2 linked regions of the Astyanax mexicanus genome follow. The protein of the gene in region 1 purifies or fractionates together with the protein of each later gene. This does not show direct contact. Links are inferred from orthologs where the notes say so. Each region holds a gene or a part of one and is shown in the gene's direction. Other genes may lie near its edges. The genes, in order: mapk4; FAST kinase domain-containing protein 5, mitochondrial.

What was found.
Region 2: the proteins of mapk4 (region 1) and FAST kinase domain-containing protein 5, mitochondrial purify together in Homo sapiens (affinity purification with mass spectrometry; 3 studies listed by BioGRID and IntAct, with this or other methods). This does not show direct contact. The link is inferred for Astyanax mexicanus from reciprocal best matches to the Homo sapiens genes MAPK4 and FASTKD5.

The regions. Positions count from the first base shown.
Region 1 is NC_064419.1:38,520,401-38,533,515, forward strand, and holds the start of mapk4 (mitogen-activated protein kinase 4), read left to right. Parts: upstream 1-6,359; 5' UTR 6,360-6,903; intron 6,904-11,998; exon of another isoform or gene 11,999-12,076; intron 12,077-13,115. UniProt on the Homo sapiens protein: Atypical MAPK protein. Phosphorylates microtubule-associated protein 2 (MAP2) and MAPKAPK5.
Region 2 is NC_064408.1:8,563,586-8,576,700, forward strand, and holds FAST kinase domain-containing protein 5, mitochondrial, read left to right. Parts: upstream 1-6,022; 5' UTR 6,023-6,126; intron 6,127-7,345; 5' UTR 7,346-7,357; coding exon 7,358-9,757; 3' UTR 9,758-10,556; downstream 10,557-13,115. Other genes in the region: leucine zipper putative tumor suppressor 3, read left to right, coding at 1-758. UniProt on the Homo sapiens protein: Plays an important role in the processing of non-canonical mitochondrial mRNA precursors.

The DNA.
Region 1 (13,115 bases):
TAAACGGAACAGCCAGACATCCCTCACAGCCTCAACAGTGACAGTACACCACTGCCTCTGCCATCATTGTGCTGTTACTTTTCGTTTTCTTTTCTTTTTATTAAAGTTTCTTGGTTTTTAATATAGGTTATGTTAAGCTGTGCAAGAATTTAAGCATTTGAATATAAGGAAAAATAGGAAACAAACTAGAAAATGGAAGAATATTTTATATATTCTTCTGCAGGACGTCCAGGGATGTTCTGTAATTTACAACAAAATATCAGCACGTTTCGTTGATGTGTTTTATTGGCCAAATATTGTGCCTTAGGGAGGAGTACCTTCACTTTCAGTATGTCTGTATGTGTTTAATGTTTTCCAAAAATGTTCTTCATCTAGGACTGGGCAAACATCACAAAACTTGAAGACATATTCAGAATGTGCATGATGTGTATTATGTTTTGCTTAACTTGCAATGGACAGTGCAAAAATAAGGCTACCTGATTTTTCTTTTTATGATATTTCATAAATTCCTATTAAACAAGGCTAATTAGACTATTTATGTAATATAACATGCAGTTATTTAATGTTCTTTAAGTGTTGATGTCTATGAAAAGTGTATTGTGACATAATTTATCAAGATGATGATGATGATGGTAACATTGGCTATGTTCAGACTGCAGGAAAATCAGATTTGTTTCTTAAATTTGTTAAATTTGTTTCAAGTGATCAGATTGGATTTGCATGTCAGGACATCACAAATGTGTCCGCATGTTGTGTTATCTGGTCGGCACCAGTTATTAATCTTTGGTGCTCTTTTTGGACCTCTGCACTTTCTACACTCTGGATTTAAAGAGGTTGTTGTTTGTTGTGTTGTGAGTGACACACAAGACGTGCCGATGCCCTGATTGAGACACATCTGCACAAATCCGATTGTAATCACATTTCAAACCACATACAAATGTGGATTGGATCTGATTTGCAAAAATCTGATTTTATAGGTTTTTAGATGTTCACACTATCAAAAATCAATCTGGATACCATCCATATTTGCTAAATAATCAGATTTGGGCTTGCAGTCCGAACATAGCCGAACATAATATTGTCATATTGCCCACCCATAACTGCATCAAATTAATTATCCTTTGCTTACCATAATCAATATTTACTATCTGTCATTAGGTATTCCTTACCATAATTGTAGATTTAAGGTCCAGAAACTGACCAGGAAACTGACTTTCTATAAAAATCTCTCTGAAAAATGATTAGACCTTAAATTTAGGTCATTTACCATTTAAAGATGATCCAAACTGTTTATCTTTAGTTTTAGAATCTGTGTCTCTACTGTAGTGTGTTTTGCTGCAAATTTAATCTAAAGCATAATAGGTCAAAATAAGCTTGTTAGAAGCCAGTCTTGTTGTTGTTTTTTTTTTTTTTTTGCACTGATAAAATCATTAAATAAACTTGTATTTAAGTGAAATCAGAAGGAAAAGTGTGCCAGTCATACTTGTCTGGACAGAAAAGTATTGGGGCATTGATCCTTGAGTAATCAAAGGATATTAAAATTTGTTTTATTTTAGTTGAAGTAACTGTTTCTACTGTCCGGGTAAGTTTATTATTATTTTTTTTATTATAGATTTTGGATTTGCATTGCTGTGAGGATTTGATTGCATTCACAGAAAAGACCGTTCATAAAGTCTGAAAGTTGAGTAATCACCACACCACCCCACTTCACCTCACCTCACCTCACCTATTCCCTCATTTTCCAACTCATCCCATTCTCAAAAGTATTGGATGGAGCACCATTATTCCAGAGAACCCAGGTCCACTGCTCCACAGCTCAGTGCTGTGCAGCTTCAAACACCAGTATCCCACATCGAGTATTAGGCATGGTGCCAATAAATAGGTTAATGTATATCTATTCTATAGAGGTCCTATTCTTTTGGAAGTATATCTCTACAAACACTAGACAAGCTCTGTATGTGTGTGCATTGAATGCCAGCTGTAAGTATGTATTAGAAGAGGTGTCCACAAATATTTGGACATATATTCTACTGTACGTCAGCCTGGAAATGTTCAAGTGTAGATAAAACTCAGGGCGTGGACCTCAGCACTTATCTGTCTAGTGGTGGCATTTTCAAGTGATATTGCCCATGAAAATATCTGAAAGGGGTTCCCCAGCAACAAAAGGCCTTTAAACCAGCCAAGTCGGTTAATCAAGAGTGCAGGTCGATTCATTAGAGAGCTGGTTCTGAGAATACAATCAGTGATTACAGGACTGTACCTCATTAAGAGTACTTTTAGAGTCTATTAGAACAGTGTTTTTTTTGTTGTTGTTGTTTTTTTTTACTTGTGGTCTGCATCGGTTCTGCCAATGGTCTGTTAGTGAAAAATGTAATTTGTTTCTTGTTTTAATGGGCAGATTACATGTGGGATTCCCCTCCTGTCCTACAAAGGTGTGGTATTTAAGGTGGGGGACATGTTCTGGACAGAGTCCAAATACGCCTGGGGTATTTAGATATGTCAGTTCCCCTTTATTTTCACGTCCTATTCATTTCTGGAATAAAAGGTTGTGTTTTACGATTTCTGACACCTGTATTTTGTACACTCTACTATATATGGAGTTTAAATTAGTTGAAATATATTTTAGGCTAAACAATCATTTATCTTAAAACTATATTTAAGGTATTTGGCAGTGTGTGTTTATACAGATTTAACCTTCAGGCTAATGTTGCTCTTGGAGGCATTTCATTCTGTAGTCGTCTTTTTACAGGCAACGTTGTTTCAACGTCATATGTTCAATCTTTAATAAACCATAGCTCAAAAAAATGAGAAAATCCTATGATTAACAAAGTGTTAACAATAAACTCACATCCCTGTACTACGTTAAAATTCAACGTTAGCACAACCATTGAACATAAAATGTTGATTCAATGTTAAAATTCAACATTAGCACTACTGTTAAACATTAAATGTTGATTCAATGTTGTTAACAGACATTACTTTAGTCATATTTCAACCACATTTCAACGTTTAAGGTCGGTTGTGTGCCAGCAGGGTTAAAGCTCATCTAGACCCCTTGTGCAGTGTACCACCCAGATGGGGCCTTCACTGACATCCATATGTGGGATGCATGGAACTATATGTGCGTGTTCTCTAGGTGAAAACAAATCTGCAACTTCTACAGCAGAGCATTTGATTCCAAACTACTTAAAATTACCCTTTTGTTCTATTTTTAATATTTAGAAAACCTGTTATTAGAGGGATGGCCAGCAGGGGGCACACGTATGCACTGAAGTGGTTCATATATTCCAAATCAGTGGAAAAAAAACAACTATAATCAACTTATTTTTTTTTTTGTTTTGTTTTTGCATTTTGGGTAAACGTTACACTGTCACTGTTACTGTAAATTTTTCAGCTGTATACATACAAGAAAGTCTATGAATAATATTACTAAGCATTATGCACATTATGTTGTAAAAATTACATTCTAAAGATTAATTAATACAGTAGACCACAAACACTATACACTATACTCTTACAGAATGCACATTTGAATAATGAAAATACCTTTACAGTGTGAAATATCTACAGTATTCACAGTGTTTTTTGTTGCATGTGTAATCAAAGTAAATAATAATCTTTAGGATTTTGTATACTTTACTGTGATGATCTGGGGTTGATGCTGCAGTTGGTCAGGTCTAGGTTCAGCAACAGTATGTGCTGAAAGAATGAGGTCAGCTGACTATCTAAATATACTGAACATAGACTAGGTTATTCCATCAATGGATTTTGGAATTCTTCCCTGATGGCACGGCCATATTCCAAGATGAAAATGTCAGGATCCATGGGGCTGGAATTGTAAAAGGGTGATTCAGGAAGCATGAGATCATCATTTTCTTTACAAATGGATTGAGAGAGTTCACCACAGAATCCAGACCTTTTTCAGACCTGAAAATTTTTGGGATGTGCTGGATGGAGAAGCGCTGCTTTGTGCAGTGGTCAGACTCTACCATCATCAATGCTGCTGCAAGATCTTGGTGAAAAATTAATGCAACACTGGATTGAAGTAAATCTTGAGACATTGCAGAAGCTTATCGAAACAATGCCACAGTGAATGTGTGCTGCAATCAATGCTAAAGGCAGTTCAACCAAATATTAGAGTGTATGACCTTGTTTTTTAGGTGGCAACTTTTTTTTTTTGGGCCAAGCAGTGTATAACTTTGGTTTGTCACCTCTTTCTGCTTCAGTGTGAAACAGCACTGTAGTAAATACAATTAATAAGTTAAAACCCCAATTCCCTCAAGTCCTTTCCTGAAAAAGTGTTTTAGAGATTACCTTAACCGTTCTATTTATACTAACAATCTGATCCTTATCACAACGTCTTTGATTGGCACATGAGGTCCATCCATATCCTGCTTTAGGATCCCTTGCAGTTGCAGATGCAGTTTGCCCTCTATCTGTGAAAGCAGGAAAAATATATATGTAATTGATTCTTCAGTGAAAGAAGACAGCCCCTATCTTGTTACTTCCCACACTGGCAAACTGTGTATAGATTCCCTGTCAGATTTTAACGCAGTTCCTTTAAAAGTGGAAAAGTCTATCCCCACAGGTCACTCCCACAGAGAGCTGACTCAGGTGTTTGGAGAGAGGAAATTCAGACCGGCTCCTCATTTATTTATTTCTCCTTGGCGACCCACTGATTCTGCTGCGCAGTAACCTGACCCCCTGTGATGATGAGGCACTGGGAGGCAAGCCAAACACTCTGCCTCTCAAGCTGGACTGTCCAAGGACTCTGCATCCTTGCATCAGAGCACAGATGAGACTAAACTTGATGCTCTTGTTTCTCCACCCTTTTCCACTTTTGACAAAAATGGGTTATCAATTAAAATCAAATATCAGACCAGTTGTGGGCAATTCTTTTTTTAAAGGGGCCACATGATGGTACAGATCCCTCCCTCAGATAATGCATGATGCTCAACCAGCAGATTGAATTGGTGGATCTTCTACCGATCTAGTGGTTGAAGCTCTGGTGAGTGTTGACGAGTGAGGGGTGCTGCCAGGGTGATTCTACTCGGGTTTTCTTATTGTGACATCCCAATAAGGGAGCCATCCAAACGGCTCATAGAAGCAAATGATTCCTGACAATCAATGATTCCTGATACAATCTCAAAGTAGCTCTACACTACATTGGTCAAATTCTAAGGCCCTGATATTTAAAACAAGGCACTGAGAACTTTGAAAGTGCACAAGTAGTTTATTAAAACATTGTTTATACACACAGTGCCTTCAGGTAGTTCTCCAGGTGCCATCTTGAAGTTAAGTCTTGATAAATTGATTGAAAAGCATTTTTTTCCAATCTTCTTTTTCATTTCTGCCCCATCAGAATCTGAACTCCAGGAAAAAAGAAATATATACATTTTACAATTTGATTTGAATGAAACCATTAAACTATTGAACCAAGAAACTAGTTTCATTTTTTTGTTTTCAAATTTCTTCTTTTTTATTTCAGTCCCATCAGGATCATAATTCCAGGGTAATATACATTTTTAGACTTTTGCATTTTTTTCCTCTTGTAAAAAAGTAGGTTGGATTATATCAGATTTTTTTTTTTTACAAAATTCAAAAACTGTAAAACCTGAAAACTGAATAGAAATCTTTTTTGTGTTTTATGTATATCTAACGGTGAGGAACAGAAATTAAAAATTTGATCATTGGACGAATAATTGAAAACCCAAAATCTTCTTTAATACATAAAATCTGGCATCATCATGAAAACCTGGTTATATATATATATATATATATATATATATATATATATATATATATATATATTAGACATGAAAAAGAAAAAAATAGCTTTTTCTTTCTTCTTTTTCATGTCTACCCCAACAGGATACATTTTAATACATTGTCAGACTTTTCCAATTTTTCCTTTTATAAAATAGTAGGTTGGATTATACCATCAGATTTTATTACAAAATGTGAAAAAAAATGTGTTAAATCAGAAAACTGAATAGAAACGTTTTTTTCATGTATATCTGATCGTGAAAAACAGAAATGAAAAAAACTTGCACATTGGAAAATAATTGAAAACCTAATTTTTTCTGTAATATATAAAATGTAAAACATTAACTATTGAAATTTTACGCCCAATTTTGTATTTAAACGTTAGACTGACCTCTTTTCCACTGTATCTATATCTCATGTCTGTGTTTTAGACAGTGTTTGAAGTCTCAGGAGAGCTCCTCACTGTCAGAAACAGAGGCTTCGTATGCAAATTAGCGCCAGGGGCCGGCAGCCAATCAGGGGCGCGTCTGGGGCGCAGTTCTGGCAGTGCGCGGCCGCGATTGGCTGCTGCTTGGCCCGGTGTGGAGCTGTGGAGCTGCTGGGCTGCTAGGCTCCGCTCTGTGTAGAGATAGGGGGAGTGCTTGGGGGGCTTTTGTTCTTCAGTGAGTGGGGCAAAAAAGAAGAGGGCAGGTGTGGAAATAGGTGCTAGCGAGATATCAAGAAGAGTTGAGGGGCAAAAGGCGTTACGTTTTTATTGGGTTGGGTTTTATTGGTGAGTTTTGTGGAAGAGAGAAAGTACAGAGAATACAGAGGAGGAGGAGAAAAGGAGAGGGGGAACAAAAGTCTGGAGGGAGAAACAATAAAGGAGAAGAGGCTGATCTGCTGCTGCTGCTGCTGCTGTTCTCCTCCGCCTCCTCCAGTCTGATCACACACAGCCAGGCCAGCAGATCTGATCTGACCCGCTGATCTGATGCAGATCTGATGAATGATGAAGCCGCGCTGATACGGAGCTTCACTGCCACTAAAGGAGGCAAACAAATGAAAGAAGATCAGCGGAAGAGATGTGGAGCTAAACCTGCAGATCTCCCCCATCAGCAGCGCGTGAAGGAGCAGAGGAGAAGCCCCCCAGACTACACGGTAAGCCGGAGCATCGCCCCCCTTTGTAGCTAGCTGTACTTTCCGATGGAGCGATAGATATACAGCTATAGCTCGGAGCAGCAGCAGCAGGAGGAGGATAGCAGGATTTTAATCTCAGTTAAGCTCCTTTCTTCACTTCGTTCTCACTCCTCTAAGCGTGAAACCCGGTGGTCTTAATCTCATACAGTAGTGGGCTCAGTTTAAGGGGGCACACAGGCTCTACAAGGCACCATCAGCCACACACGAAGGACCTAGGATTATAATTAATATTGAAAAAGATTTGTGCACAGCACAACAGTTCAGCCATTCAGTCAGTGTAGCCTACTACTTTATTATAATTCCAGAAGAAATTAAAGAAAAAAAATGCAGGGGGAAATAATAAGACAAAGCAAAATGCAAATACTAACACAAAAAGCTTTTAGACGAGGGCATCAAATAACATGTACAAAGAATTTATAATAAATACAGTATCTTCCCAAAGTCTAATAAATCTCTGGCTGTAGAATGGACAGTGCTAAAAGCAGAACCCTGACCAATCACAAAGCTAACAAATATTAGCCCCGCCCTCTCTCACTTCTAACCTGAGCAACCCTAACCAGCCAGCTGGTGAGCAAACTAGCAAACTGTCTCTGAATGATAAATGGCTTGTTTTAATGATGTTTCACTTTTTTATTTCATAATATATAAATATGCATTAATTTATCAAAAAGGATTCATATTTATATAACAGGTCTTTTGTTTTCACAGCATTTCAATTTTATACCAACATATATAACAATATATTAATCAAATTTGTTTCTGAATTAACACATTGTTACAAACAATAAGTAAAGTTAATCTTTACTTTAAAGTATTTCTATACATTTTATATAGTTTTATGTAATATATTTTGCCATGTCTGCAGTGTTACCGGGTTAATTTGAATAATTATCTGAAGGGGTTAAAAAATGATACTTTTCGATAATTTAGAGCAAGCTAGTCGACCAGCAAGACCAAAAAAGTAAATGCATCATACACTAATCTGATCAAAAGCTGGTTAATGAGCGATCACAAAGGGTAACAAACATAGCTCCACCCACTCTTTGAGCCTGAGCAACCCTAACCATTCAGCTGGTTAGCTAACTAGCAAGCTTTCCAAATTTTTTCTAAGGGCGGATGTGGTCCCGGTGCGCCTTCTCCAAGGGTAAGTTTGGAAAAGTGTAAAAGCTGCTTTGTAGCAGCTAAAATCAGTGGTCTGGGGCTTGCTTCAAGTGGCTGTGCCAGGTTATAAGCTAAATGGATAATAACCGTCTCCTAATCGAATGGTCACTGGTTAAGAGGAGCTTCATGGTGGAATGTCATACACGCCTAAAGCGCCTTTCTTTGCCGCTCAAGTATATTTATCTAATATACTAAATATAATAAAATAATAATAAAAGTCAACCTCCAGCTAAAGCATTTATTAAACTACTCACAGAAAACGTATAGGATTATGTATTCAATCCACGATTCGGAAAAAAGTTCTCGTGTGTGAAAACAAACCAGCGATAATGAGCTCCTCTCCAAACAATCCTAGAATCAATTCTGGGAGCAGACTTATTTGTTCGGGTAAAGTGTGAAATGCGCTATTGTGTTATGTGTATGTTGCCATGGCAGTATAAACAAACTTTTGTTTACCAGTGATAGACAGCTGTCAGTCACGCATGTTCATTAGAACATAATAACCACACCTACTGAGTTATCAGGGAGGTCTGATAAGTGCAATTTGTCGATATTTGAGTGTTGAGTATTTTCTAAAAGTCACAAAATGTACAGCTTTTATCAAAAAGCACCACATGATGCAGCTCTTAAGTTACACTGAGCTGTTTTCACTCAGTACTCCAATTACACTCAGCTAACAAGTTGTTGTTTTTATTCCTTTAAAATGAATTCTGTTAAATCCGTTTTAAAATCAGGATTGTGTGTGAACACAGCAATAAGAACAGCTCCCCTATCCAGGAGATCAGATCAGATGAGCTGTAAGGCTGCTATCAGTGAGTCTGAGTGCTGTGTGCAGTGCTGGGTGCTGTTTCTGCAGTGTTGGTAGGTCCATGGCTGAACTGCAGCAGCAGCAGCTCAGCTAGTCAGCGCCATAGCACTATGCATTATTTATAAAGTTGGGCTGAAAGGCTGAAGGGAATGCAGGCAGGGCTGTGTTGGCGCTTCGCACAGACACTTCGCTCGCGCTGGGATGCCTAATTTGGAAGCCCATTGCCGCCAGGTACAAAATAAAGCATGCCCTCTCCCCCCCCTCCTCCTCTGTTCTCCTCTGTGTCTCTGTTTCTGACCGCTAACAGACTGTCTGAATGATAAATGGCTTGTTTTAATGATGTTTCACTTTTTTATTCTCAAAAAGGGTTAATATTTATATAACAGGCCTTTTGTGTTCGCAGCGTAGATGTTTCAATTTCATATAAACACTGTGTAGCAATGCATTTATCAAATACATATTCTGAATTAACACATTACTACAAATAGTAAGTAAAGTTAATCTTCTCTTTAAAAGTACTTTCTGTTCATTTGATACAGTTTTTAATGTGTTTTGCCATGTTGTGCCTAATTAAGTTGAATAATTATTTGAAGGGGTTAAATAACACTTTTTGATCATTTGAAGCAAGCTAGTCCACAAGCATGACCGAAAAAATTAAATGCATCATACATTTTGCTGATCAAAAACTGGTTAATCAGGTTGCTAACCAGCCCAAGGTATGTTTTCACCTGGATTACCAAATTTTTCAGCCATCTTGACTATCAAAACCAGCTACAAGCAAAAGCTTTTTAAAATTCAGTTCTTATGTTTGAGACACAATTCAATTTGTTTACGTTTTTGATGTAATAAGTAAATGTAAATGTTTTTTTCTAAAGCCAATTATTAAAGAGACAAAGAAAAAAAAGGTTAGAAAGGAAGTCTTTGTTTGAGACAAGTGGTGTTTCTTAATACCAATAATATAATATCTATCTATCTATCTATCTATCTATCTATCTATCTATCTATCTATCTATCTATCTATCTATCTATCTATCTATCTATCTATCTATCTATCTTTTGAGATAGTGTGTTATACAGAACAGTATAAACAATCTTTGTTTGTATCAAATTAAGTACATTTTGACAAATGTACTACCCATTTCTTCCCTGATTTCTTAAAGCAGAGCGAGGAGAAACTAAAAGCTTAATTATTGTGGGTCTGAACAGCATCTTTTGCCACTGTGTCTGTATGAGTCTGGTATATACAAGTGGATCAGACTCAGCAGTGATGCTGGAGTTTTTAAACACTGTGTTCTTTCAGACACTTCTACCTAGCAGCGACAGCGCCACCATTGAAACAAAAGCTCATCTGTTGCTGCACAGTATGTATGCAAAAGTATGCGTAAGTATAAGTATGCATAGAAAAAAAGGACTCCAGAAGTCACCAACTGATGCATCCTCGTTTTTTGGGGTGAAGCACAAATTGGGCAACCGGAAACAATTGGCAGATTGTATTGTAATGCAAAGAAAAAAACACACAAGACTGCATATTGAGACATGGCGTAAAAGTCTAAAGAAATCAATGGCTGTCTGAAACGTGAAGTATCTAGCTAAATAATGGCAGTGTGGACAGTTTACAGCTAGACATGAACGTTTAGCTGTGTATTATTATCTAATGATATTTTAACTCAGTACAATAGAAGGTTAGATGACTAGCCTTATTAGATTAGATTAGTTAGATTAATAACTTCGATTCAGACATGACTGGGTTTCTTCCCGTCTCAGAATACTGTCTGAGTAAGCAGCATTTCTTACATTTCAGACACTATTTAGCCATTGTTTTAAATATGAAGTCAAATTGTGGAGAAAAAAAATCTTAACAAAGATGGCCATTATGTCAAGTGTGTCTCAAAGTGTGTCTCAAACTCAGTTGGTTTGTAGCACCTGACAACTGACAGGTTCTGGCTTCTGAGAATAGCACAGCTGTCTGTGCAGAGCTGTGTATTGGCAAGAACATGGCAAAACTATATGTATCACATTACAGGACATACGATTTAATGTATTGGGATATATTACACTACTTTGTACAAGATGGCTCAACAGGCTGGTGAGGAAAGCTGGTTCTGTGCTGGGATTAAAGTTGGAGTCCTTTAACACCACTGGCAGATAGGAAAGCCCTCAGCAAGCTGCTGAACATCATGGACAATGTTAACCACCCTCTGCACAGCACCATCACCAGGCAAAGGAGCTCATTCAGCGGCAGACTGTTGTCCCAGTCCTACTCCATGGACAGACTGAGGAGGTCTTTTGTCCCTCAGGCCATAAGACTGTTCATCTATCTATCTGACATGCTGATTTTTAAATCACATTTTATGAAAACACAGAGTAAGAGTTAGGGTAATAAAAAACACACCATACACAGAATGCATCAAATCTGATTAAAAGAAATTTGACTTATTATCAAGTGAGAACAGTGTGATCTGAAGACACTGCTGTCTAAAATTCTGAACCACTGTCTGACACCAATCCAATTACAATCATTAGAGTATTTTTGAGAATTTATAGAATATTGCAAAATGTAGTACTTTGATATTTGAAATGTTCTATCCCTAATAAGCAGCAAGTAATCAAGGCATACTATTTTGAAGAAACTGACTATAGAAGGCAATTCCTGACAGATAGAGAAGAACAGAATTGCCAGTTTTTTCCTCTCCACCTGTTGGGAATTCGCAAAGTGGAAATCTGAAGTGCACACAGGCTAATGCCTTTCAACAGTGAAGATCTGCTTACATAACAGCATTTTGGCTGAAGGCTTAACACTCGTAGATTGCAATCTTGTCATTGAAGATGAGTTGCTTTGGCCAGGGTGCCCCAGAGACACTTATCAGGGGGCCTTTCATAAAAGTGAATCATAGGGCGGCTCGTTCGCTAACTGTATTTCTAAGATAACGTCAGATTAACGAAACATTAGGTACAGTATATGTGCCAATTGATGTAACAACAAGTGGTATGATGTCATGATTATCTTTACTGTAAACATACCTACTCTATATATATTACTGATTAGTCTCTAATGGTCTTTCTCTCTATTTTCTGTCTCTCTCTTAGGAAAGGAATGCATGCCAATGCTCACAGATAGCTGCATACGGAGCATGGAGGTGAAAGGCCAGCTCAGACACAGAGACGGCAAGTAGAGGCTCTTAGATTACACCCTGATTACATCAGGTTTATCCCCTGATCAGTTCAGTGCCAGCAGCCCAGCATCAAGGAGGCAGCAAGTGCAGTGCAAGGCTATTATAGTGCAAACAGTAGGGGGGAAATGTTATATGGACATAAAATGTGATGTGTGATCACGCTGTTGGATATCTGAATATCAATGTGAATAATTATACTAAATAAGGGATTTTTTTCCAATATTGAACATACTACAAATTTAGTGTTTTTTTTTTGCTGAATATATTTTGCTGTGGTGGATTATCACTGCAAAATGATTGTTGCCACTGCTTCAGAATTGTATCCAATTCTGCAGAAAGCTTTCAATTTTATTGAAACAGTGGATGCAGAAGACAAGGTAAGGTATTTCATATGTGTCTCAAAGTCAAAGTCAAAGTGTTTTTTATTGTCATTTCAGCTATATACAGAGTACACAGTGAAACGAAACAACGTTCCTCCAGGGACCATGGTGCACATAAACACAGTGTATACAGAACAATAGTGCAACAGTACAAAAGTGCAGACAGACAATACAACACAATACAGAAAAAGAATAATAAATAACAAGACAGTGTGCAAATTATGCAGTGTGCAAAAAAGACCAGTGAGGTAGTAATTACCTCTATTACACAGTGTGCAATAGAGTCCAGTGAGGTAGTAGGGTTTTTAGTGCTTTCCATTTTCTGGGGTAAGTGGGGTAAGAGTGTGTGTGCATGTACAGAAAAACCATCAGTTCAGTCTCTGCAGTTGAGGAGTCTGATGGCTTGGGGGTAGAAGCTGTTGCAGAATCTGGTCGTGCTGGACCGGATGCTGCGGGATGCTTCCCGAAGGCAGGAGGGAGAACAGTTTGTGTGAGGGATGGGTGGGGTCATTCACAATGCTAGTTGCTTTGCAAATGCTGCGGGTGGTGTAGATGTCCTTGATGGAGGGGAGAGAGACGCCAATGATCCTCTCAGCTGTCCTCACAATACACTGGAGGGTCTTGCGGTCAGAGACGGTGCAGGTCCCAAAC
Region 2 (13,115 bases), on another chromosome or scaffold:
CTGTGCTGAGAGACAAGCTGAGCGCCTTCGAGACGGAAGTTGCCGGGCTGAAGAAAGCTCTGAGCGAGCTCAGCCATACAGCTAATGCTCGGGCGCCTGAGCACAGCCTGGCTGAAATGGGTCAGCTGGTGCTGTCGCGGAGTCGGGAGCGCCTCCTCTCCCCTCTGAGCCCCCCAGAGACCCCCACTGCCTCTCTCCCTGCCCTTCCTGCTCTACCAGGCCTCCCTGCTCTGCCTCCTCTCCCTGCTCCCGCCTCACTGCCAGGGGCAGACCCACTGCTCAGCCTGCAAAGCGACGACTCCAAAGCGCAGCGACAGGAGGCTGGGGACCTGCGGCGGCAGCTGGAGCTCCTTCAGGGCGAGTTGCGCCTGGAACGGCAGCAGCGTGAGCGGCAAGCCCTCAGCTTCGCCCAGGAGCGCCAGACGTGGCAGGGCGAGAAAGATCGCGTGCTCAAGTACCAGGCCCAGCTGCAGCTCAGCTATGTGGAGATGCTGCAGAAGAACCAGGCACTGGAGGAGCGTGTGGACCAGCTTGGTTCACAGCTGGTCACTCCCACCTTGGCCTTGCCTCCCTCTCCGGCTTCTCCACCGCCGCCGCCACACCCACAGCCACCAAGTCTGGAAGCCCAGACGCCAGTGTCTGTGGCTATTTCGCTCACTTCCCCGACTCCGCCGGCAGAGGAGAAGAAGCTCCATCAGCTGGCACCTCCATGGCCCGTCCCGACTCGCCTGGAGAGGATTGAGTCGACAGAGATTTGATCTTCAATCTGGAGTTGACGGCGAATGTGACCTCTTTGATGCAGTAAAAGAAACAAGAATCCCACTTAGGGCACCGATTACAATAGCGAATACAGTTATACAGTTGTACAAAAGTACGAATAAGTACAAACTCCCCTGAAACATAATATAATAATAAAAAGGTCATGTCAACAGCTTCTGAGGACAGTCCAAGGATGCCCTGCTGAGTGAGGCAGAGGTCAGGGTTGAGGGGTGAAGATAGTTCATTATAAACAGTAAATAGTATGTTCGTGTGGCCTTATTGACTGACCCATAGGAAGAAAAGCTCTGTATCTTGATTTTTGTAAAGCTGGTTGGGCGATAAAAGAAAGAGCTGGCCCTGAGTCTGTAGCCAAGGGGAAGTGAGGAGTACCTGGATTTAACACTCAGGGGATAAGGGATCAGGCATTAATAATAATCCATATTTACGGCTAGACTGTTGGAGCTTTTTAGCCACGTTGCCCTCTTAGCTGGAGAGCGGCTACCTGATGCCATTCAGTACACAAATTGCGATGAAAAAGAAAAAAACTGACATTTTCTTGGTTAGACCCAAGAAATAAATATCCAATTTTTATCTCAACACACATCAAACCAAGCTTAAAAACAGCTCAAAACTGTGGGTGCTGTGTAATTATCACACTACTCTGAAAACCCACAAAAACACAACAAACAGTAGAAACAGGACAGAACATCTGAATTATATACCTGAATAGACTTTCGTTTGTTTAATTTTTACTCTAATGAGAAGCTGAAGCTATGGGGAAACTTGATGCTCACTTATTTAAAGTGCTTGTCCATACCATCGTTTCTTTTAGTGAATAGAAGCAGGACCAAAAATGATATTTATAAAATGGTGCCGGTCTCGGGTTCCCTTGCAGTGGATTGTTGTAGTTGCAGTCATTATTGGGACACCAGTGGACACCAAGGCATGGTGTGTGATTTGCGTAAGAGCGTGCCTCAACCCTCCTGCTGTTATTAGCCAAAGCAGTGGCGGAGGACTTACCACATGGACGTTTGACTCAGAACGTCCTGACCAGAACATTGTTTTCTGCCTTTTTTTTTTTTGTTCCATGTTTCCAAAATGACGTAGAATATATTAAAAAGAGAGAAGAGAGAAGTATTACAGAAAAAATACAAACAAACAAACAAAAAACACAAAAAAACTAATATGTTAATGCACTTTGCTTTGGTCTCAGACAATGTTTCTTTTTAGAGAGAGAGGTTGTTTGTAAGTTGTTAATGAACAGCATCTGCTTACAGATGTTTGGTTTATGAAGCTGCTAGTTAGTGGGAGAAAGCGGAGTCAGCGGCTGAGCCAAAAAAAAAAAAAAGAAATGAAAAAACGCTAAGAGGGCAATCGGAATAGTTTGCGGAGAGGAACACGCTTCTAAAGCACCTTTCCTTTGCAGTTAATTAATTAGTTATATTGTTATATTTGAGCAGGACCTTACATTCTTCCAAAAAAAGAAGAAAAAAAAAAAAAAAGAAGAGAGAATATGTGTCAATGTATACTTTCTGAAAGTATCACTTTAGAATATTTGACTTTCAAAAGAAAATATAATTATGCAGTAGATTTGAAGTGATGTTTTGAAGTAAGTACACCGTGTACGCAGGCTGTGTCGCCATATCTGAATGGGTTCTAGAGGCTGAAGCGCCTGAAGTCGTGTTGGTTGGTCAGTGAGGGGGATTAGGTAGTGCGATTGTGTAGTGTGGGTTAAGGTTGATGAAAAAATGTGAAAGGTTTAGATAAATTTATGACAGGTGGTGATACAAAGACAGACTGAAAAGTGGTAGCATTGAAAAAGACAAATAAACAACAAAAAAACAATAACACCTTTTGTCACAAAGCTTACAGTAGTATCAAAAGCCCTACAATATGACAATTGTGGGTTTGACTGATTATTGTACTGTACAGGCAGGTGTATAGAAGGCCTAATATCTTAAGTCTCGTGTTGACTGGTCAGAAATATGATGGGAGTTCACTAGAGGTGCTTTAGTAACCCTTAGAAGTCAAGTTACCCCAGTATTTTGCTGTGCTATTCAGTACAAATTGGCTAAGTTCAGAATAAGACTGATGACGATTTGCCATTATTATCATTTATATTTATATAGTGTTCTTTTCAAATAAACCAAATTAGAAAGCCAGTGTCGACCAGTTAATCAATCAATCAATCAATAGATCTGTCAGCCTTTATTTAAGGTTTTACATTAAGGGTAATCCCTACAATGTAGCCAAGCTGATACAAAAAAGCTAGTAAAATAAATCAAATAAAATAATTTATAGGATATGATAGTAGTTATGTAGAATCTTCTAAAAGCAGATTTTCATAATTCAGTAAAAGTTAAAATGTGACAAATGTTTACAATCTGCACTTTCAAAAGAATTATCCAGTTTCTATGAAATAAGTTTATTAAGAAATTCATATAAATAAACAGAGTGTTTTTAATGACGATATCTGCGACTTCTAAGGGTCAACTCAATGCTTGGAACGTGTACCACATACAGACATCAGCAGAGAAAGACCTGATTTTACCTCATTATGCCAATGAGATCATCTACAAATTAATTTTTTGGGTCTTTCACTGCTAAAAAGGAGTATATATGTGTAGATAATGGGACATTTTAGGTTGTTACAGGACCCTACAACTGTACATGCACCTCAATTTCTAATAACTGCTGCGATAACCTCCAAACTGAGGGGTTTAACTGCTGTAATCCCATACACTCCATTTATTCTTACCTGTGCCATCACGACCGGTGTCGTGAGACGTTTTGAGATTACTGAACTGAGATTATCCGAATTTATCCGATCCTTTGATCCTTTATTTTTTTGTAGCTTTATGACATTGGGTGTTAAGTGAGGCATAACCTACAAAGCTTTAGATGGACACCACCCCTCTACTGTCTTTGGCCACATTTGCTGCTATGTAATTCTGTTGTGTCCTGCTGTGTTCTTAGTAGAGACAAAGGGGCAGTTGATTGCATGTAAATATCATTGTTATTTATGTGTACATATCTATTCTATCCAAATATACCAAGCTATTGCGTGTGAATACTTTTGTGAATTAATGAGACTGACATGTCAGCTTTTATTTTTCAAACTTATCGATATAGGAATATAATATAATATATAAATCTTTTAAAAAATTTAAATCGGCCATTACATGTTACAATCAAGATAAATACATGAGAGCCCTTCAGTGTCTTCTATCCCCCTCTGTCTCACAGTTCTTGAATTATACGAAGGGAGGACAAACTGTCACCAATGTTTTCATTCTGATTTTTTATGCTTCGAAATCGCTTGGGGAAAAAAGCATATCTTAGCAAATATGAATTCAAATAATAAAGATGTGAATAAAAATAAATCAACTGTGAATGTTTTTTTTTCAGTACTGTCTTCCTTAAGGGTGAAACAGGGGCCTGGGGTTGCGGGTTCAAGCCCTGCGAGAAGTTTGATGGGTGCATGTGGGTTTTTTTTCTGTGTACTTCTAAAAATACACATGAATACATGTGAATTGGCCATGCTAAAGTGAGTAAATGGTTGTGTGTAATGAAATGGTGCTCAGTTCAGAAAGTACCTTAGGAGTAGGCTCTGGACCCACTGAGACACTGGCCAGAAAGAAGCGGACAAGAAGATGAATAGATGGATTATTATTAATATCATCACTGAGAGATTACCTAGATATGGTGTGTTAATAATCAATGCCATCCAAAGCTACACTTTTAATTCACATCACCTAATTCAACAAAAAATAATATGAAAGATTGTGATGGAGTGGAACGTGTTAAGGTTAAATATTTTTCAAAATGTCATGCATCATTTTCTGCAGATCCACCTTATCAGAACAGCCCTACTCAACTCCACAAACTCTCTGAAGGTGTTCTGTGGTTTCTGGCCCCAAAACTTTAGCAGCAGATTCTTTAAGTCCTGTAAGTTGGGGGGTGGGGTCTACATGGATCACATCAATGGGCCTAGGCCCGTGACCCGGTCGCTGGGACAGTGGTTGTCCTGCCACAGAAGAACACAAAGGACCTGCTTTAATGTTCTGACCAAGTCATCTGGCCATCACTGTCTGATTATACTTACAGTATAATTACTATACTAAAATACTGCTTAAGATACACACTCATACTTACACAGGTACCAGTAGAACCAGATAATTAATGTTATTCCCTTTATAGTCTTAATATTATGGCTGATTGGTCTACTTAGTTTTTGGGGTTGACCTACTTGATGGATCAGATATACAGTACAGGCCAAAAGTTTGGACACACCTTCTCATTTAATGCATTTTCTCTATTTTCATGACTATTTACATTGTAGATTCTCACTGAAGGCATCAAAACTATGAATGAACACATGTGGAGTTTTATGTACTTAACAAAAAATGACCTGGTCTCCACAGTTACCAGACCTGAACCCAATCCAGATGTTTTTTTGCGTTATTAGGTCATTTAATTACATTTTTTACTTAGTATTAATGTGAGGAGAGGATAACAGTACAGAAAGCATCTTACCACAAATGCAATGATTACTTTAATTACTTATGCTTTAAAAGATCAATTCAACTGCTGGTAAATTGTAATTTTATCCTACATGTATAATCATGTGTAATATCTGATTACATTGTTTAGAATATGTTACCTATTTTTAGGCTGATCATTTGTAATGTCCCAATTATATTGTTTGGAATTTGATCATTTTCAAAAGCTTATATCACATTATTACATTTTCAAATGATAATTTGTAGTACTTTATTACATAATTGGTAATATGTTTATAATAGATTATTACGCAATTCGGAATTAAATTTTTAGTACCGGTAGCTTTTATCAGCTTATTATGAGTTAAGTGCAACATTTTGTTGTATTTGTTTTTCTTTTTTTTACATGTAACATATTAAACTCTTCCATTTTCTTTGGGGTCAATTTAAATCGGTGTCAAATAATTTTTTATATAATAAATAATAAATAAATTGTATTATTATAAAAAAACTGTATTATAAATCATCAATTACATTTTTCAAATTGATCATCTATAATACAGAATAACATAATTATAATTATAATGTCCTGTACACATGGATCGTCCGTGCCACCTTAAATATATTACAGCAATACGCACACCGCTGCATTCTTAAGGTGGACGGGAGAGTTCGGTTAAAACGCTGGTCAATAGGAAGCGCAGTTATGCGGAAGTGACTTTGCTTTGTTTGTCCTTTCTCGGCCACCGTAGTACGCGTGATCTGACACTTAGCTCTGTATATGGAGGCTCACACACGCTGTCCGGCGCAGGTTGACCTCAGTCAGTGATTAAACTGGATAAAACTCAGCGCTCTGTGGTTCAGTGTAAGTTCTGAAGGGTTTATGATATTTATATATATTTAGTGGACGAGAGGAGGAGTATGAGGCAGGTAACAGCCAGCTTAGTGCAGCAAAATGAAAGAAGACAGTGTCTGACTCTGATAACTAGTTAGCTAGCTAAAGATGCATATGTATGTAATCCAATTTAAACAGCCTGTAATTAAACATGATGTATAAGTGAGGATGTTCTGTTTCACTAAATATGTTAAACACTAACAGACTAAAGTCATATTGTTAGTGCAGCATGATATACTAGTGAATCTAAAAAAAATTTAAAATCATTGAAAAGTTACTTTATTTCAGGAATTCAATTAGCACTTGCAGTGTGGGTAGTGTGCCAAGTCCTGCTGGAAAATAAAATCTGCTTCTCCATAAAAGTTGTCAGTAGCAGAGGGAAGCATGAAGTGCTGTAAGATTTTTTGGGAAACTCTGCACTAACTTTGGACTTGATAATAAAACACAGTGGACCAACACCAGCAGATGACCTGACTCTCCAATTTGTGGAATCTTCACACTAGACCTCAAGCAGTTTGGACTGTGTGTCTCTCCACTCTTCCTCCAGAATCTGCTCCCTTGATTTACAAATGAAATGTAAAATTTACTGATGATCAGTGATGGTTTGAAAAGACATGTCATCTGCTGGTGTTGGTCAACTGTGTTATATTTAGTCCAAAGTCGGTGCAGTTTTGTTTACAGCACTTCATGCTTCTCTCTGCTGACAACTTTTATGGAGTGTAAGATTTCATTTTCCAGCAGGACTTGGCACATTGCCCTCGCTGCCAAAGCTACGTATATAACGTTTATACTTTTTGGAGACACTGATTGTTGAGTTTTGATTGGCAGTAATACAATCAACTGTAATGTGTAATACATGTAATACACTTTAAACTGAATTACTAAAATGAAGTAACTTTTCAATTAAATTCTAATAAAAAAATACTAGTAACATCTAAACATCAGCCCAATGTTTTTATTTTTTATGTTTATTGTCATGATATGACTTGTGACCTTGTTTTGCTTAATAATAATTAAAATAATATGTATATATAGCTATAAATAAATATTACATCATGTTTTAATAATGGTGATATGACACATTTCCTTGGTATGTATGGTATATATTGATATAGCCTTAATAATACATGAAAAAAAAAAACATTATGGTTCAGATTTAAGACTAATCTTGTTCTTCATCTTTTTTCAGTATATCCTGTGGATGTTTGCAAGGGCGCTGTCACGCCATGTGTCAGCACTGTGGCTGTACACCCACCACCCATGCAGGGTTGTGTATAAAGCACAGCATCTCTGCTCACATTGGGAAAATGGAAAAGAAGAGAAGGAGGAAGAAACAGAGACAGTCCAACAGCCACCAGCCGCAAAGAGGAACACCCTGGTATACAACCCCTCTGCGTACTACAAAAGGAGTACACAGCGTTCTGCTCTTTCAGACAGTTCACAGATGGAGGAGGAAGCCCCTTCTCAACCTGTTCCAAAGGCATCGATCAGGAGGAATCCTGTCCGCTCCACACAGCACATCAAGAATCGAAGACTTGACTTGGCTTTCAGTAAGAAAGAATTTCACCCATTAGACACCCCAGCTGATGTTAAAGGAGACCCACGAGCCTTTCATAGATGCAGGCCCGAGTACCGCAACATATCTCATGATCTATCCCGGCGTCCGCCTGCAATCCACTTCCAAGATGCTTTATTACTGCTTCATAAAGTCAATTCAGCTAAAGGAGACATTGAACCCTCAGATGTAGCTCATTGCCTTAGTCAACTGGGCTGCCTTGCCCCCAAACAAGCTCAGGTAATCCGAGGAGATAATGAGTTTAACATGCTTTTAGGATACAGTGCGGAATGCCTGCCAAACTTCACCAACCTGCAACTGCTGGAGGTCCTGCAGGCATTTGTGAGACTGGACTTGTCCTACTCCAACAAAATTCTAGGTTTGTACGAGGCTGAGTTTGGGCAGCGGGCTGGTAAAATGGACCTTCATCAGTTGCTGCTCATCGCTGACCTGTGGCGGTGTCTTGGCCGGTCCGTTCCGCATTATCTTGAGAGCCTGTATGACTGTATTTGCCAGCATTTCAGTGAAATGGGTCCTCCAGAGTTGGTTCAGTTCATTTACATACTGGGAGAAGGCAGAAAATGTCCTGCTCATCTTATTCAGCCCCTTCAGTCCCATCTCATGCGTCATTTACACAAGCTGGAGGCTGAAGAAGTAGCTGCTGTCTGCTTAGGGCTGTTCAAATCTAAAGCTTCCCTTTCAGAGCATGTGGTGCGTAGCATCGTGGACCATGCTTGTACCCTGGTTAAGGAAATGAGTAACTTCGGCTTAGTTAATGTTCTAAAACTCTTGCGTTTCAGCCACCTGGACCACCTGCCCTGGTTAGAAGCAATGGGGTCTGTGGTACCACAGCGTGCACCACAGATGAACGCCCCAGGCTTGATGCATGTTGTTTTGGCCTGCTCTGCTCTGCATTACCGCGATGACCGTATTCTCCTGGCAGTGGCAGAACATCTGCCTCCTTTGGCCTCCGACTGCAGAAGCAAAGATGCTGCCAAGGCATTGTGGGCCTTTGGAAATCTGGCTATCCTTCCCAAGCAGTGTCCAAGCTTATACCCTTGCATCACTGATATCCTACGCAAACGAAAGGCTGAATTCCAGTTATTTCCCGAGCATCTCCTTACAGCTTTGTTAGGTTTGGCTTTTGTAGGTCAGTATCCTAATGATCTACTAAGTTTAGCTTTAAGCCCCGAGTTCATAAGCCTAGCCTCGAGCCGAGCCCACCTGCAACTGGGAAAGGACTTTTTCACTTTAGATGGTACGGTAGGAATTGAGTTGCCTGGCTGGACCGGGCCACGATTGAGCCAGGCGTTTAGGGAAGAAGTAACAAAACAGCTATGGGACTTTGCCAAATTTGATATATGTCAGAAGCCGGAAGTTATAGAGGCCGAGGAGGTGCTACAGGGGCTGCTTGGAGGAGAAGCTTTTGTTCGCAAGGGAATGATCTTACCTCACATGCGCTCTATTGACCTTGAGGTGCACTTGGATGCTAATGAACAACCTTTACCTGTAATATCTGAGCCCACAGTTCATTGCACATCTACTCCAAATAAGGAATCAAACCCTTGGGAAGGACCCATTGGAGTAAATCTGACAGATGACTTGCTGGCCCAGCTCACTAGTGCCAAAAAGATCCCAGTGCAGACACCACAGCAGTTCATCCAGCCTCCAGCCCTGAGGCCGGTTGAGCCACAGAGGGAGAGAGAAGTCCTCTTCGGTGTTGGAATTGACTTAACTGATTGCCTCCTTGATGCTATGACGAAACGTAGAATTTCTTCTTCTCCTGCCCCCGACCAGGTCAATTCCAAACAATCTGTACTTCGCCTTGCGGTTCAGGTGACCAACAGGAATCACTATTGTTACAGGACACAACAGTTGCTTGGGCTCCATGCAATGAAGAGAAGACAGTTAGAACTGGCTGGTTATAGAGTGGTGGAGCTGCCTTACTGGGAATGGTTTCCGTTACTCCGGTGTTCGAAGGCTGAAAAACGTGCCTACCTGCATTGCAAGATTTTCAATACTTATGACTCAACACAAAGGTCATGACCTCGTGTTTGCTGCTTAGTCAGCAGTCAAAAAGAGATGATGGATGACTTCACATGTATCAGAGGAGGCATGTCCTCGCACCCTCCCCATGTCAAAAGCATTCCAAATGATGTGAGGGAGTCCTAGAAAGCGGGTCGGTTCTTTGGCTTAGCTAAACTGCAGACATAATTTGGTAAAATTAATGGCTAAGTTGCCAGGTTTTATGTCATACAGTCTTGCAACACTCATTAAAATAGCATCACCACAGTAAACATGTAAAAATGGTCAGAAAAATAATACACAAATAATTTACCAACAACCAAACAATGCATTGATTTTGAATATCACAACTGAAGTCTAAATTCATTTCTTGTGTAAAATATTAATTAATGTTGTTTAAGAGAATCTCTTGAAGAATATTGTGCTAATATTTAAAATAACGTGTAAAACATTGTTATAAAATGATGATAAACTTACTATGATATCGGACATTTTTGATATGCCTTTATAGGCCACCAGATGTTCTTCAAGAAAAATGGCAACATGTAAAGATGTAAATTAAAGGATGCCCATGATATTGTGTTAGCTTCTCTCATTTCTTTTTAAAATCAGTGTGTAAAAGTCTTTGCAGATTGTTGTTTGACAAATATTAATGATGATATGGATGTTATACAATCTCATGCCAAATGTCGTAGGACGAGAACTAGTATAGTATTTCATAACTTTTGCCATGTCCTATGAAAGCCTAAAAAATGCTTCACTGACCTTTGTGAAATGCGTCTGGGGCCTTATTCAATAAATATGGATGTGATTATTGCCATTTGCTTCTCTGTTTGTGAGGGCAGATTTAGACAGACACTGCTGGTCTCGATTATTACCCACTACTGCAAGCCTACTGTGGATGAATGTTAAATGCCTGAACACTTTGGGAAATGGAATGTCCCTTCCATTGGGTAACTACTGTCAGTCTTCGCTCGAACTCCCATAATTCATGTCACCTGTCATGAGCCACTATTCAGGTTCATTCTCAAGAATCTCAGGTTTGGGTGTTGCAAAGCCTAAGGCAACCATTTACGTACTGCTATCTCATGACTTTTGGAATATTAGTGCATGTAATATAGACATTACACTGGTTTTGTTTAGACTAGTGGTTCTGGAGTCTGTCCACTTGGGAAACAAAGCACAGTACAGTATACATTTTCACCTGTTGCCTGTGGAGGGTAGTAATATCCCATGACTGGCTTCAAAAACACTGACTATTCTTCTGTGTTTTTATAAGTCTTTATAAGTCCTCTTCCCCTATTCCCGCACTTCTGTTCTTTCATTCCTTTAAATTCTTTGCTCATAATCTGGCCATCAGGTGAATGTGCCATCATAGCATGGCACATGCCTAATACAGTATAAGAACTCTAAAAATAAAGTTTAAAGATTAACTCACATATTTTATAGGGAAAAAGTTTTAGGGCTCATGCTCATTCATTGTTTTTTCTAAAATCAAGGGTATTTAAACAGATTTGTCAGGATTTTGTTAGAGTAACTGTTTCTAATTTCCAGGAAAGAAGTTCAAGATTTTGGTTTATTGCTGTGCTAATTTGATTGCATTCAGTGAAGACTGCATTAGTAAGGTGCTGGATGATCACAGCCCCACCCCCAATACCTCAGGTTATATTTGGACATATATAGGACTACACAGCATTGTGAATTATTTTTGAATTTATTATTTTATGATCAAAGTCTTAGGCTTAGTTCTTATGTAGGGGACCAACCTATGGTGTATAATAATTTGTAATTTATAGTAAATATTATTCTCTGTTTTTTTTTTAATACACTGGCAGTCAAAATTGTTTGATTATTTTATATTTGCTGATGTCAAAAGGTCTATAATTGTTTTTTTGTATGTCCTCTTCTGATCTTGATGACTACTTTACACCACTTTGTCATATTTTCATAACAATTTCTTTTTTCTGTCTTTCTTTCAATCATTTGTTTATTTATTTTCAAAGAAAGGGGAAAAACAAACAAACAAAAAAAGAAAACATTACTTTGTCAAAATCAATTTATACACATGTATGCATACACACATATTCATATGCACACACAAAATAAATACTACTACCACTACTGTAAATAAATTATCAAAAGTAATAATAGCAATTATTATAATAGTAATATCAATACATTTTATTAAATACAATGAATACGTAAATAAACAAAGTAAAAATGATAAAGAAAAAATATATAAAACAAGTCCGAAAATAATTTTAAAAAAGCACTGTTGTAGTTTTTCTTTTTCACACATTCAACAACAAGAATCCAAATTCTTAATAGGATTTGCTGTTAATCTGATTGTTCCCTGCTGGAAAACAACAGCCTGGCCAGGTCAAGCTTCACCAGCCTGACATTCTTAGCTCTTGACCAGTATAGGGTTTGTTGTTTCATGAAGGTTTTTTTGCTGGTTGACCAGAAAGACCAAACATAAACAAGTGTGACCAAAATCAAATTCAGCATCTACTATGCTGTTCAAAGGCTGCTTAATCAGTTTTATGACAGCATAATAGTGATTCACATATGTGGGAGTTCTGGGAATACCCAGTATCATCCAGCCAATACTGATATACTGTCTTGTATATTGTCTAGTATTTCTTGTCACACGTATGTCTATATATGTGACCTTGTTGTATTTTACTACAATTATTACGTGTCTACCGCATTCTTATAATATAATTAATTATATTTAGTTGTACAATTATTACTTTTATTCTCACTTTTTTTTGCTGTAAATTTTTCCTGTACATATGCAGCATTGACAATAAAAATTATTGAACTTGAATACACATTTATACCTAACAAATGTAAAAACAGATAACATTTATTTACCTTACATTTAACTTTCAACCCACTGTGTGCACACAATAAAATGAAAGGAACCTCCTTACAAATTAGTTTTTCTTTCAATTTTAGGCATCACATTTATTTAGCTAAATGATTTAGTCCTTACATAGGCTGTTAAAAAAGACATTCTTTAAATTAACAGGTTAAATAAAACTTTATCTATTGAAACTAATAAAAATGAGCTTAAATCAATGTGTTTTAAAAGTTTTGGCCAACAGTAGCAGCTCAGACTGTGTAGTAGCTTGGTCCTTTATCAGCATACAACAAGCAATACGTCAGCAATACGTCCTCCTTCAGGCCCTTAGACTTCTATGTCCTGTATTCCTATTATTATTTCCCCTATACCTTATTATTTGTAAGTCGCTTTGGATAAAATCTTGTAAAAGCATCTAATATAATGTAAAAATATCGGTTTGAAATATTGGCCAAATCTAGTGAACAGCCTGATTCCGAAGATTCATAAAAAAGCAATTATTGGCCGATACCA